Nothobranchius furzeri: one gene and its partner. The protein of the gene in region 2 purifies or fractionates together with the protein of the main gene of each other region. This does not show direct contact. Links are inferred from orthologs where the notes say so. Each region holds a gene or a part of one and is shown on either strand. Other genes may lie near its edges. The genes, in order: cdk2 and ccne2.

Region 1 (7,599 bases), on a different chromosome or scaffold from region 2:
ACCCCAGACTCCAGATGTCAACAGCTGTGGAATAGTATTTGCAGCCCAGGAGGATTTCTGGTGCTCTGTACCAAAGTGTTACCACCTGGAAATTCAGAAAAGTGGTTTTGTACAAGAAGCTAAAAGAATAAACTAAGCTGTCCTGATAAAACCCACTTAGACAGCTTACCTCATGTGTGTATGTTCGTACGGGTACCCCAAAGGCTCTCGCCAGGCCAAAGTCAGCCAGCTTGATCTCACCTTGGGCGTTGATGAGCAGGTTTTGAGGCTTCAGGTCTCGATGAAGAACTCTGTGGGAGTGACAGAAGGCCAGGCCTTGCAGCAACTGGAAGAGATAACTCTAAAAGAACAACAAAAGTAAGATCAGATCTAATTTGCACAGAAGATTCAATCCTAACATTTTGAGGACTGACAGTCACAAAGTGATGACTACCTTGACCAAAGGCAGCGGGATTCCTGTGACTGAGGAGGAATCCATGAACTTTTTCAGATCCTGATGAAGGAACTCAAAAACAAGGTAAAGTTTGTTCTCCGTATGGATGACGTCCTGGAGTCTAATAAAAAAACAAAAACAAATGATGACAGTTGGCAACGGTTCAGACGTGCTCTGGCCGTGGCTCAAACACTAAGAACTTACTTGACAATATTTGAGTGACTGAGTTCTTTGAGGAGTGAAATTTCCCGGATGGCCGTGCTTGGTACGCCTTCTGTTTCTCTGCATTAGGGACAAACAAACCAGAGCTTTACACCAAAACAAATAATGACCAGCAAGCAGGCATTGCTGAATACAGTAGTGATGCACCGATATGAAATTTTGGGCCGATGCTGATATTAAAATCGCTGTTATGACCGATAACCGATATTTGCCTAGACTGTTATACTGACATTAATCTGTCTAAAATCAACAGATTTTGTATAGAATGAAAATTATTAAAGCTGAATTTACCGTATTATGTACACACACAACACACACATGCTTCTGAGATGATTTCATTCACTGTCACATGACTAAACAAATACACATCACCCCCTCACCCTCTGAAACAGATAAACAAATGGAGACAAGATTGAAAAAATATCGGTTGTTCATATCGGCCCACTTTTATTTATCAGGCCGATACCAATATGTTAAAAAATGACTAACATTGGCCAATACCGATATTGATGCTGATATATTGTCCATCCCTAGAATACGGTCATTCCCTTTAACAAGGATTATACAGTGCTGCAAAAACATATACTCCCTTACACATTTATTGTTTTAGGCATTCATTTATGAATTTATTCTACAAATTGCCATATCAGACACCGATGATGAGTAAAACGCAAAATGCTTTTCATGTCACGCAGCTGCTCTCCTCATATCCCAAATGGTCCCGATGGTTGTTGTCACTGCTTCTGCTGCATGCTCGCGTTCATTTTCGCTTTTGTTTTCGTCCTAACGGCTCACGCCATATTGTCTTTTTATTGTTTTTATAGATGGTGTTGGATACGTCTGTACGGGGAGTTAACCGAGGTTAACAGTCAAACCGGTTAATCCCTGCAACCCTAACCTCGAACGGATTAAATTATGGCGTACTTTGACGGAATAAAAATTTTAAAGGTGCATTATGTAGAAATGAAGTCAAAATTTTATCCTGTGCTTTTTGCCGGCAGTTGTCAAATTACAACTGTCGGCGCTGCGGTATTAGCTTGCAGTAGATATGGCACCCCCTCACTCACTGATGGTAAACAGTAGTTACGACCCTCCTTTTGTTTTGAATGGAGAAAAAGTGGCAATCCCCACAACCAGCTGGATATGAAATATGTTTCAGTGTAACCTTTCTTCCAAAATGACTGAAACATTAGACTCTTTTGGGACTTTCTCACTGTAAAATTCTTACTATATTCTTACACTTTTAAAATGTTTTAATTGTCTATGGACGCGCTGATCAGTGACGTCACTCATTGCAAACATGCTGATGATATGCTGACGTATTTGCAAAGTCCTGAAAAGGCTGATTTTGTACAGACACAACGGCTGAAAACACTGATCCATTGTGTTTTCCTGGAACTTCAATAGTGGAAACATGGCTATCGAGTACGCTAAATGATCCCACACAGCAGCAGATGGTGCCTTTGCTAGTTTAAGGTCAAATTCAACAATAAGAAAGAGATGAGACAAAAAAGCCTCTATGGGACAGTTCCGTAAAACATCTCTGGTGACCACACAAAGACCCATCTCACCGTCTCCAAAGAGCATCTTGATGATATTTTAGAAAGTGGAACACTTGTTTAATCAATGCATTTTTGTAGTAGTCTCTAGTACTAATAAATGACGAGTAAGTTGTTTGCAGGGGGAAGAAATATCCCAGTGCACCATTCTTCTGACCTAAAATTTGCCCACATCACAGCAGACCTTCTGATGGCAGGATTTGGAGTCTTTTTCCTGATATTTGGACATCTCACTCCGGATCGGACAACAGCAATGCAACTCGACCACTGATTTGCAACATAGACATTTTATCTCCACAAATAACACAAGGCTGGAGGAACTTCGGCTGTGTGGTGGCATTGCTAATGCTAAAGGTTAGCTTGAATTAGCTGAGAAGTTCTCTGCTGTTTCCTGGACACTAGAACAAAAAATTTACTGGACACTAATCCAACAACACCCAAGATGGGTGAGTCCATGAATGTTATTCAGTGTGACGTAGATCTGTCAGGCTTTTCTAATTCTAGTTTCACCGTCTATTTTCTATCAGAAGCTAATGCAGGAGAAAGGTGTGGGAGACTATTTTCATGTTCAGTCTGCATGAAAAACTCAGTAACCATAATCAGGAAAAACATATTTAAAATGGTTTTTCAGTCAACAGCATCTTTGAGACTTTTTTGAAAATATTCTCTGGAGTGGTGAGACTATTTTGGTGAAAAACTAACTTCAGAAACACATCAATATACCAACAGTCAGACACGGTGGTGGCAGAGTGATGGTCTGGGGCTGCTTCAGGACCTTGACCACTTACTGTAATTGATGGAACCATGACTTCAAACATGTCAACCCACTCGTTTGGCTGGAATAAAACAATGTCAAAAAAATGTGGTCTAGGAATCCTTCACAGCAATGTAAGCCTTGTTATTAGTTCTCACAGATGCTTGATGGATGTTTATGCAGCTAAGGGTGTTGATTGGTTGTTTGTTTCCTTAATAAATAAATTAAATCATCATTTGAAAACTGCTTTCTGTTTTTACTTTGATCATCTCTGGTATTTGTGTTGGAAGACATCGATAAGGATCCAAATGCTTTTTTCAGAGTGCTGAAGTTTGGGTATGTTGGTAGTTTGACAGCTTGAGATACTGAAAGGTACCCTCCTACAGCAGCAAAACTATAAAACATGTCCATTCAACTAATAAATCAACCAAAGGAATGAAACAGAATAGCATTCAATGTAGAGTCAGAAAACTACTTCTGATCACTCACTAGTAACATCTGATCGTAGACTAAAACACAAGACAATGAAAAATTCCCTTAAATAGTTACATATTTCACTTGCTCAGACGCTTTTACCCAAAGCGACTTGCAAAAAATTGTAAGTCGCTTTGGGTAAAAGCGTCTGCTAAGCACATAAGCATAAACATAAACAAACATATCCAGCTAACCTACAGGGTTATATCCAAGGATGCTACGTCACTTAGTCCTGTGTGGAGGTTATATTAGGCACTGAATAATTACAGTTTAACGAGAAACGCTTATTTCTGTTGTTGCAGGAAGTGGGCAGACGATCACCAGCCACGAGGTCGTGGATAAAAAAAAAATCTGAAGCATTAGTGGATGTTTTTAGCGCGGCGTTAGCTCTGGAGATAACTCCTGCCTCTTAACTTACGTGTCCAGGCGGATTTTCTTCAGAGCAACAGTTTCTCCGGTCACTTTATTCTTGGCTTTGTACACCACTCCATACGTCCCTTCTCCTATCTTCTCCACTTTCTGAAATGAGTCCATTTTGCTTACAAGAGCGGGACTGTTTAAAGTTTAGCTGCTTAGCAATACTGGTCTCTTTGTGTGCGCGCTAGCAGCAGCAGCGACAGCGGCTCGGTGGCTACAGAGGGGCGATGTTAAGGAGCAACGCGGGGACAAACCGACACTAACCGCCGCCCCGGCTCCCTTCGGCCAGTCCGGAAACAGCCGAGCGGGAGATAGGGGGTTCGTGTAGAAGATGAAACGCTCTCAGATCAAACGACAACACAAAAACAGGTATATGGGCATGTGTGCCCAGCCTCGATAGTAATTATGTGGATTAATTCAAAAGGGGAGCGCGACGGTCGCAGCTCAGTCCACAAAACTGAACCAACACAGCGGCGTTTCCCGCGTTGTAAGAGGAGCGTTCGTTTTTGACTTCATGATACACCGATTATTTCGAATGGGTGGCACTGTACTCTTTATTTTATTGCTTATCTTGCAGTGTTCTCACAGGGGACCGCTATGAATGAATCCAACGCTTTAGATTAGATAAAAATGTTCACAAAAGTACTTCTGGTGTTTGTTAAATTTAACGTGTTGTTAGAAATCACCAGAAGTTGGGATGAGACGGAGACACTAAATGAGCAGCCCTCACTGGTCACATGATCAAAATGGATGACGTACCCTGACGTCATCTTAGAGGGATGTGGAGTGCTTTTGTTTGTAAAAAATGTGTTTATAAAATTATTTTCTTGTCAATTAGATCTAATTTCACAAACATTAATTCCATTTTAGCCTACCATCATATAAGTTTAAAGTTGCCATTGTTAGTTTTTTAAACATTTAATTAATTTCTTTACCTTAGAACAGGAGTCCTCAACCAAGTTTGGTCCTGAGGTTTTTACAGTAGACGGGCCAGATGCACTCTAAAATAACTAAAAGCATTATTGTATCTTAATTTATCAATAATTTAAATGACTTTGTTTTCCACCTAAACTGTCTTCATTGTAGTTTTAGTTGTGGTTGGAGAATGTAAACAATTATTGGGGGGGGGGGGGGGGGGGGGGGGGGGGGCAAAGAATTGGGACTACAGCCCTGCACAGGCCTAAAATCTGAGCCCGTGTCCGCCCGGCCCGAGGGGGTGGAGCCCCAGCCCAAACCAGTCCGAAAAAGTTTTCAGGATTCTCTGGCCCAACCCGAGCCCGAGGCCGACTTTTTTTCTTTAACCTTTCATGATGTTTTAGCGTGATAGAAGGCTCAGCATTCTAATTATCTGTGGGAAGCGTTCCGTAGTAAAAAAAAAAAAAAAAAAAAAGAAAGGAAAGAAAGAAAAACAGCATTCAATGCAGCTTTTTTTTCTAACAGCGTATTTTTCGAGCAGCAGATGAAATTTACGAACACTATATTAATTGGATGCGTTTGTAAATTTTATCTGCTCTGAAAATGCGCTCTTGTGCAATTAGGAAAAAAAAAGCAGCATTCTAATTTTCTAACTGCAGAGCACATTTTCAGAAACACCCCCAATTAATATAGCGTTTGTAAATTTAATCTGCCACTCTGAAAATGCGCTCTCCAACCCAGTAGTGAATGCTGTATTTTTTTTTTACTGCAGAGCGAATTTATTAACAGAAAAATAGAATGCTGCCATTTTCATGAGAATAAACGAATGGTTTTTGACATATCAAAGTGGACATAAAATGGCATATTAGAATAGGGGCACATGTTTCAATCAGTAGTTTGAGAATTTGTTTATATAGGCACATTTATAAACCACACAGACCTTAACAGAGCTAATGGGTGCCAGTGCGTGAGAAGCAGGCAGGTGCTGCTGCGTTTAAGTATTTCAGTTTTTTTTAATGAATTCACTTAAAAATAAAGGCACCCGGCCCGGCCCGTGTCCGAGGTAATTACACAGTCGTTGGCCCGAAGCCCGGCCCTCGGGCCGTCGGGCCGGGCCGACCCGAGGGCCCACGGCTTCAGTGCAGGGCTCTACTTGGGACCCAGGTGGAAAGGTCTGGTGGTCCGAATGTGGCCCACGAGCCTCCAGTTGAGGTTCACTGCCTTAGAGGCTAATTTTTTTGCCTTTACAAAACCTGAAATTTATATTTAAAGATTAAACAAACTAACCGATTCTTAACATGAGATGAAACTGTTATTTATTTATTTCAACATTTTCTTTTTTGCACTTCATTAATAATGGCCTAATGACTTTTAAACATTTTGTTCACCTATTTATATATTGTCTTTTTTTCTCCCTATTGTTCAAAACTTTTTTGTACCTGTGTATGTTTGATGCACTGAAACAACACAAAAATCTATGAATGAGAAGAAAGAAAAAGGTAAACATACCTTACATTATTGTTACTTTCTTCCACATTCTCATAGCTTTTTCAGTCAATCAAACTTTATTCCAGACAAAAACAATGTGTCCAAGTCATAAGACACCAAAGATAAAAAAGTGGAGGTTAAAAATGGTTTAACAAAGACATATAAAAAAAAGAAATTTTTCTCAAAATATGACTTCATTGTTTTTTCAGAACATTTGATAAGGACATTAAATTGCTTTTGATCCTTTTGTGTGTAATGTGGTAAATGTATATGGTAATCTTGTGCAGTGACAGAACAAAATAGAGTTAGTAGTGCCCTCTAGTGGAAACAAACATTTATTTATTTCTGTCTTTATTTGCATCCCATAGACTCTTAGCTCTGTTGTCTGTACTCTTTCCATTCATCATTTTCATAATTTCTGTGAATATATTTTATTGTTTAGAAACAAAAACCTGATTATTTCCATGACAACAGATCTTACAGCACAGTGGCGTATTATGAGGGACTGACTGACTCCTTCACGTGGTTCTCCCAGGCATGCAGACAACAGCGTTCATCTCTAGATGGAAGGGCAGGATTAAACATTTTAGCTGAACTTTGAAATAAAAAAGATCTGCTGCTCCTCCTGAAGAATGTATCTGATGCTCTTTAGACCATGTTGACACCACTGTTCATGGTTCAGACTATCTGGATTGCCCTCTGGGTGAGAAGCACCACCATCTCATCTAAGGCAGTGTTTCCACATTAGTAAACATCCAGTCACAAAGGGGACTCTGACTGACCAGAACTTATTTAACGTGACATTTTCATTTGAAATTTTGGCTTCTTCACACCAAACGGATGGCAGCTTGAGTAGCTCCATAAGAAATATATGATGAACCATCTCAAGTCAGATGTTCTGTGAGGAACGGTTTCTGTGTCTGTTCAGACATAGAAATAATTCACATTTTAATAATGCACATGACCAAATCCCTGAGGCTTAGCACACAACAGATTTACTACACAAACCCTTTCTCTACAAAGCTATCATTTCTCATTATTTTTGCTTTATAAGTGTTCTTAAATCAGATTTGGTTTCTTAGAAAATGTTCAGTATAAATTTGTTAACATCAGGAAACGTTCATTACCAAACACTTCAGACTATTTTATTCATCATTTCTCTTCTGGTTTCATTTTTTTTTCAAGAAAATGCCATTATGGACATTAGAAATAAAAGAAAGTAGTATGTAGATTTGGTTGTCATTTTCGTGTTTAATTTTTGTAGAAAGTGAAGATTTATTCTGATTTTGGTTCAAATTTGCTCCCACTGAGTCGGGACAATCATTAGATGACACAAA
Region 2 (6,199 bases):
ATGATTTTAGGAGACTGAAAACATCAAACCTGAAGCACCAACCAAAGAAAAAACTAGACTGAAAATATTTATCATTCATTTAAAAAAATTGCAATATAGCAGAAAATTAGACTTTCTGAAATGCTCATTTTACATCGTACATTCATTCACATTTATATACAGCTCAGTTGGTTCACTACATAAGTTTACAGCCACAAGGTTTTAATTTCCACCTTTCAGCTTGCTGCAGCTTAAATTAAATTCATGTACAGTTTATTTGTTTCCCCTCGACAGACGGAAGGCACTAAATACAAATATACAACATTTAATGCAGAATTGCAACAGGTGTTACGGAGCTAAATCATAAATAGCCCTTTGCCTTTGGCAGCGAGCGATCGGTCAGAACGACTTCACACTTTCTTTCTTTACACACACTAAGGCTCATCAATAAATACAAGCTCTTAAAAAGGAAGCGTAAAAATCTGCAGTTGTCAAGTTTCCCAGGAATGTAACGAACAAAAGCTGCAACCAAGTTCTAAACACGGTTACACACAATAAAATAAAATATTAAATGGAATTCAGCCACAAGCAGATCAGGTAAAATAAAATTTAAAAAAATTTAAACACACCTGTGGCTCCTGTAGATATGAAATGCTTTGCAAGTCTATTAACTCGGTGGTGATACACAGGAAACATGCCTGAGTATAGTTCAGGTAAAAAGAAAAAACATTACGCTTCCATTTCCACCCGTTTAAGATGGATTTTAAGTTTTAAAAACACTAAATCAGGCTCCCCCCCAATTTCCTGAAGCACTATCTGGAAGCATCATGCCCCAGCATAAGAGAAGCACCAGTAAATTCTCACAGGCACAAAACCCACCAGCTTCACCGCCGCGTCTCGGTCTGACAGCAGCCAGTTTCAAGTCTATCTAGACCGCCGCGGCTGATTCAGACCGCAATAATACTTCATGAAAATCAAAAATATCATCCGAGTTGCTCTGGAGATCCGAGAGGTTTCTAGGAAAACACCAGATTTCCTGACGCAGCAATTAGCTGAAAACTACTCCGTCTGGTCAGAAATCAGAGCTTAGTGTTACGAAAACATAAAAACAAAAACTTTTCTGATCAGCGAATAGGCAGTCGCTTCAGGGAGGTAGCTCGTCCTGACGGTGGTCGTCGTCACATCAGGGATTGGCAAATTTCTCTGCGCTGCTGGGTGGAGTTAGGACTGTTGCCACGGCAACAGGTGACCACTGACATTCTGAAGTGTCAGCCTGATGCTCTTGGACTTTTCTCTGCATGAAAAAAAAAAAGTTTGAATTACACACACACACACACACACACACACACACGTTTAAATGATGCAAACTTTACATCATTTATATAAACAAAAGTTTTTCTCACCAGCAGCTCCAGATAGGCCACGTGTGTCTGGATGTTGTGTCGATCGTCAGATTTGACTTTAGAGAAGTTCTTGAGTTGAGGCTTGGCTTCAGAACGCAGCGTCTCCATGAAGGGACTCATCCACCGATAACAAGAAACCACGCTGTCCAAAGTCAGGCCTGCAGAATAATCATTAATACAAGTTTAACCTCTTATCTGAACAAGCCAACAGACATAAAGGACTGGTGAAACAGGAAAGACGAGTCACTGAATGAAGCTTTTTAAAAGCTTAAGTACTCACCTGAGACTTTATGAACAATGTCAAACGAAGAGAAGTGGCAGAAGGCGGCGGCAGCGAGAACACTGTAGCTGTAGTCCAACGAGCTGATGTCCATCATACACAAATCCAGCAGCTGTAATAAAACAACAATCAGCACAAATGACTTCACAAACCCTTAAAAAAAAAAAAAAACTAGTTAGAGCGCTGAACGTACCTGCGTGATCTGGATGTAGGTCTCCTGACAGAACTGAGGCTCCAGGAAGTTCTCACCATCTTTTTGAGCTTCTACTTGAGCGTACAACTTCAACCAGGAGATGGGGGTCTCCGGGCACAAGTTCCAGTCTAACGTCTGAGATTACAATCCAGTCAACACCAGAACGACTGTTACCAAACACACAGGTGAGAACGAATCACGCACCTTCAATATCTGCAGCTCTGTGCGCTGGATGTCCCACATGTCACACGCTCCGTCTGTGACGTAGGCAAACTCGTAGATCTTCGGGGGATAGATTTCCTGGAAAAGAAAAACAAAACTTATATTAATTCAGTATTAAAGTAACAGTTGGAACTAAAAGTGCACAAAGGTGGGACTCACCTCGATCTTGGAGGCGATGAACAGAGCTGTGATGCCGATGAGTTGCAGGAGGTCTTTGCTGACGTTCTCCTGAGTCAGCATGTAGCGATCAAAGTAGTCCTGAGCCAAGTACGCCGTCTGTCTGTGGAGGCTGTACACCTCACTCACCTGCACGGAGAAACAAAACGGCACTCAAGACGACATCAGAGTAACGCTGTATTCAGCCCAGCTCCACGACTCACCTCTAGAAGCCAGTCCAACAGGATCGCCCTCATCTTGGGCTGCAGTTTGGGGTGTCGCTGCAGGTAACTCTTGTCATGAATGTACTTCAGCTCCTTATTCAGCATTTTAATCCACACATCGTCGGAACTTGCCCAGCTGCGACACAAAAGCTCGTTATTAACATGTGCCGACCTAAATGTGGAGACTTGCTTCAGCTCACTGGTCCAGAGGCAAAACCTAAACACATTACACAACCCACGACTCGCCTGCCGAGAGGGGAAACACTGAAACTTGATCAAATCACACATTCTGCTAAACTATTAAGTAAACAAAAGCTGTAAACTTTGAATGCATGTGTGGGCGGAGTGTCAGCCAGGGGACAAAGGACCATTTCACCGTGGAGTGAAAAGGCATGATGGCGTCATTGACGTGTAAAATCTGGTCTTACCTGAGGCAGGGGATAGGGGAGGCCTTGATGAAGAGGTTCTTGAATCGGTACTGTTTGAAACTAGACGGGTCTGAAGGCTCCAGCTCTTTGTGAGGCGTTTCAATGAGGACACATGGACTCGCACCATCCTCCAACCAGCACTTCTAGGAGAACAGAAACAAAATGAACTTAAAATAAAGTCTCAAATAAAAATGTTATTGATATGTTCTATAAAATAATATTTGGAGTTGTTTTTTAACCAGATATAGGAATATTCAAAATAGTTTGCATAAAACTTAAGTAGTTTTCTGAAAATAGGCTTTTACTCTACATAAACAGCGACACCTACTGTTGACAAATCGGTACTACATAACTTATGATAATCCTCAAGTGCATCTCTTTAGACTGACCATATCCGAGTAGTAAAACATTTTTTTTTAAACCTTCAAAATGGAAATCTTATAATTAGAAACATTGTAATAAAGTATAAGTTTATTAAAAATAAACATTAAAACTGACTTATTAAATAGAAGGGTGGGCCATCAAAATACATAGTATGTACTAGAGTACTTATCACACACACGAACACACACACACCTGTATTTCATAGCTTTGCTTCTTGGCAGCAGGTTGGAGATTCTTCTTTGAGAGCTGTGGGGGAAAAGGGGTAATTGTCAAACTGCTACAACATGATGTCACGACTAAAGAAACAAACACAAACTAAAAATAAAACAAACCTCTGTCTTTCTTTTCTTTAGTGGGATTCTGACTGTTGGCTCAGGTGTGTTTGAATCTCTGGCTTGAAGAGTGATACGACCACTGAACACAAATATCAATTATTATTACTAACACACAATAAGCATCCTCTAACCACAATAAAATCAATTTTGATAGAAAAAGGAAATGCTACAGAACATAATTGCATATTGTAGGATGTTTGGGCTAGAAAAGATTTAATAATCACCAGCTCACATGTAAATTCTGTTAAATTATTTTAAGTACAATCAAATAAATGTGTCAAACTATGTCACCAGTAAAGTGTTACACAACTGTTGTACACTCGCATACCTGCGTCTGGACATGGTGCTGACTTTAGTTTTTGCTCCCCTGCAAATAGAAAAAAAAGATGATTTTGGTGATTAATCATACAATTAAACATGTATTAGGACAGATTTGGGAGACTGTTCTTACAAACTTGATCTAACACCTAATGACTAAGTGAAGAGGCCATTCTCTGGTTCCCCTCAAAATGATCAATATGAAATGAGGGTTCACAAGCAGACCCAAAATGGCTCCAATACATGCTGTAGAATATATCCCATTATTATGTATATATACGGTTATAATAATATATTAAGTGTCCTCTATAAATACCCAGTGATGCCACCCAAATGTCACAGTAACCACAGAGGTATGAATCCCCAGGATCAGCTTAGAAACTGATTTATGAACGGACTAGCTTGTCGCAGCAGATGTAGCGTTAGCTTGTGACCGCCACAAGAGAGGCACGAAGTCACCCGATAAAACCAAAACTAGGCTGCAAACTCAACCAGCTTGACCAGGTGGGACATTTCTACACGTCCGCGGATCACAACCGATAAGAAAAAGTGATTAAAATTAATAATAAAGAGTCGAAATTTGCCCAGAAAGTTCTGTAAGCTAGTATGGAGCCGACTAGAGCCCAGAAGAAGGGGGGCTGATTAGTCTCTCGACTTTAGACAAAAAAAGTTCAAAAATAAGACATTTTAACTAAAGTTTATCGACTTCATCCACGAGGCACACGTCTTTTTGTCTGTTTAGACTAGTTTTGGTGGTCAAAATGTTGGTATTTTTAAGTCTTTTTGAGGATTGAAACTCAAACACGCGCCAATTTCCACAACGTAGAAGCGGGAGGATTTCAGCCCAGCCTCTCGGTACCTGCCCAACGTCTGCGAGGGAAAACTAGTATACACGACTAGTTTTAACCTTTAAACTGGTTTAAACTGCTAGTATAGCCTCTTTACTACCACATACTTAACAGGGGCTTGTTTTAGAGCCCGTTTAACGCCAATAAAGTCGGTTAAAGTCGCGGCAACAATGTGGTGGGTAGCTACTGTAATTAGCGAACTAAGCCCGGTTTCAGCTAACTAGGTCAATAATAACCGACTGTCCCCAACATGCAGATAAACTGGTCATCTTTAGCTTCAGCACACAAACATCTGAATACCAGCAAGGTCTAGGGAAACGGCTGACAAAGCAGATAAGACGACGAAAACTTAGTTAAAACCTAATGTTTGTACAAACTAGTTTCCCCAAACTTTAACTGAGGATAAATATGCAAACCACTCAAACCGAGGTACAGCAGTATACAGTGATAATGCAGTTTTCGTTTGATGAATAAAAGTAAGAATTGTTATTATTCTGCATGCTATTTTCCATCTCTGATTTAAAGTTGTTTTTACAAAACTCCACTTGGATAAAGACACATTACAGCATAAACCCCTAAAGTAGACAACCCAAGAGCGGATTACAACAGTATAAAATAGTTAAAATAGCTACTCTGATCAGGTCAGCTGTCAGCTCCAGCTCGGTGATCTTACCTCTTCAGTGAAGAATGAATGACTGCATCAGCTGTGGCGCCGGCGCCAATCCTTATATCCGCATAAAGACAAGGGCGCCAGTGCGCATGCTTGTTCCCGGTTAACACAAACGCGCTAAATGTTCAAATCTGACCGGTGATTTGACAGAAGGTCAACAGAAAGGAGCTCAAACCGGGCAGAATGACCCTGCTCTGTTTTACGGTAACGTATTCTAAGCCTTAGACACTTTTCGAAGAGTTATTTGCCGTGTTTTCCTAAAGTCTGCATTCATTTGTAACGGCCACATAATCGCTGTAACATTTTATGAAGCATATAACTGTTTCCGTACTTCGCGGTTAAATTTTAACGACGCGAAACACGTACAAGAATGCTTTAGAGTTGGTCCAATACGCAGATCTTGTTATTTCGCGAAGTTATACTTCGTTTTTTAAACGAAATTGAAACTGCTTCCGCGTACGGGTCCCGCCTATGGGCGGATTTCCCGTGACGTCAATCCAATGAGCGCGCGAGCAGCGACAACCGCGTGCTGCTTTCAAAAACGTAAACAGAGTGAGCACGTGGGTGTACTGTCAAACCGAAAAACAGCTGTTTAAAGCTTTTATCATAGTTTTTGCTATAATGAACGGAATGATGACTATTACATTTCTGAATTAAATACTTTATCTGATAATAATAAACACATTCAAAATTCTCTCTTCACAACAAACGTGCCAAATGTGAATTTTAAATTACCATAGTAACAAGATACAAAATAAT

What was found.
Region 1: the proteins of ccne2 (region 2) and cdk2 purify together in Homo sapiens (affinity purification with mass spectrometry; 10 studies listed by BioGRID and IntAct, counting the BioPlex papers as one, with this or other methods). This does not show direct contact. The link is inferred for Nothobranchius furzeri from reciprocal best matches to the Homo sapiens genes CCNE2 and CDK2.

The regions. Positions count from the first base shown.
Region 1 is NC_091743.1:49,087,035-49,094,633, forward strand, and holds the start of cdk2 (cyclin-dependent kinase 2), read right to left. Parts: upstream 4,119-7,599; 5' UTR 3,977-4,118; coding exon 3,861-3,976; intron 716-3,860; coding exon 638-715; intron 555-637; coding exon 434-554; intron 341-433; coding exon 170-340; intron 86-169; coding exon 1-85. UniProt on the Homo sapiens protein: Serine/threonine-protein kinase involved in the control of the cell cycle; essential for meiosis, but dispensable for mitosis. Phosphorylates CABLES1, CTNNB1, CDK2AP2, ERCC6, NBN, USP37, p53/TP53, NPM1, CDK7, RB1, BRCA2, MYC, NPAT, EZH2.
Region 2 is NC_091745.1:67,772,499-67,778,697, reverse strand, and holds the end of ccne2 (G1/S-specific cyclin-E2), read right to left. Parts: 5' UTR 5,444-6,199; intron 3,972-5,443; 5' UTR 3,947-3,971; coding exon 3,933-3,946; intron 3,684-3,932; coding exon 3,602-3,683; intron 3,516-3,601; coding exon 3,462-3,515; intron 3,029-3,461; coding exon 2,886-3,028; intron 2,594-2,885; coding exon 2,458-2,593; intron 2,384-2,457; coding exon 2,237-2,383; intron 2,156-2,236; coding exon 2,060-2,155; intron 1,991-2,059; coding exon 1,856-1,990; intron 1,775-1,855; coding exon 1,663-1,774; intron 1,541-1,662; coding exon 1,383-1,540; intron 1,274-1,382; coding exon 1,163-1,273; 3' UTR 60-1,162; downstream 1-59. UniProt on the Homo sapiens protein: Essential for the control of the cell cycle at the late G1 and early S phase.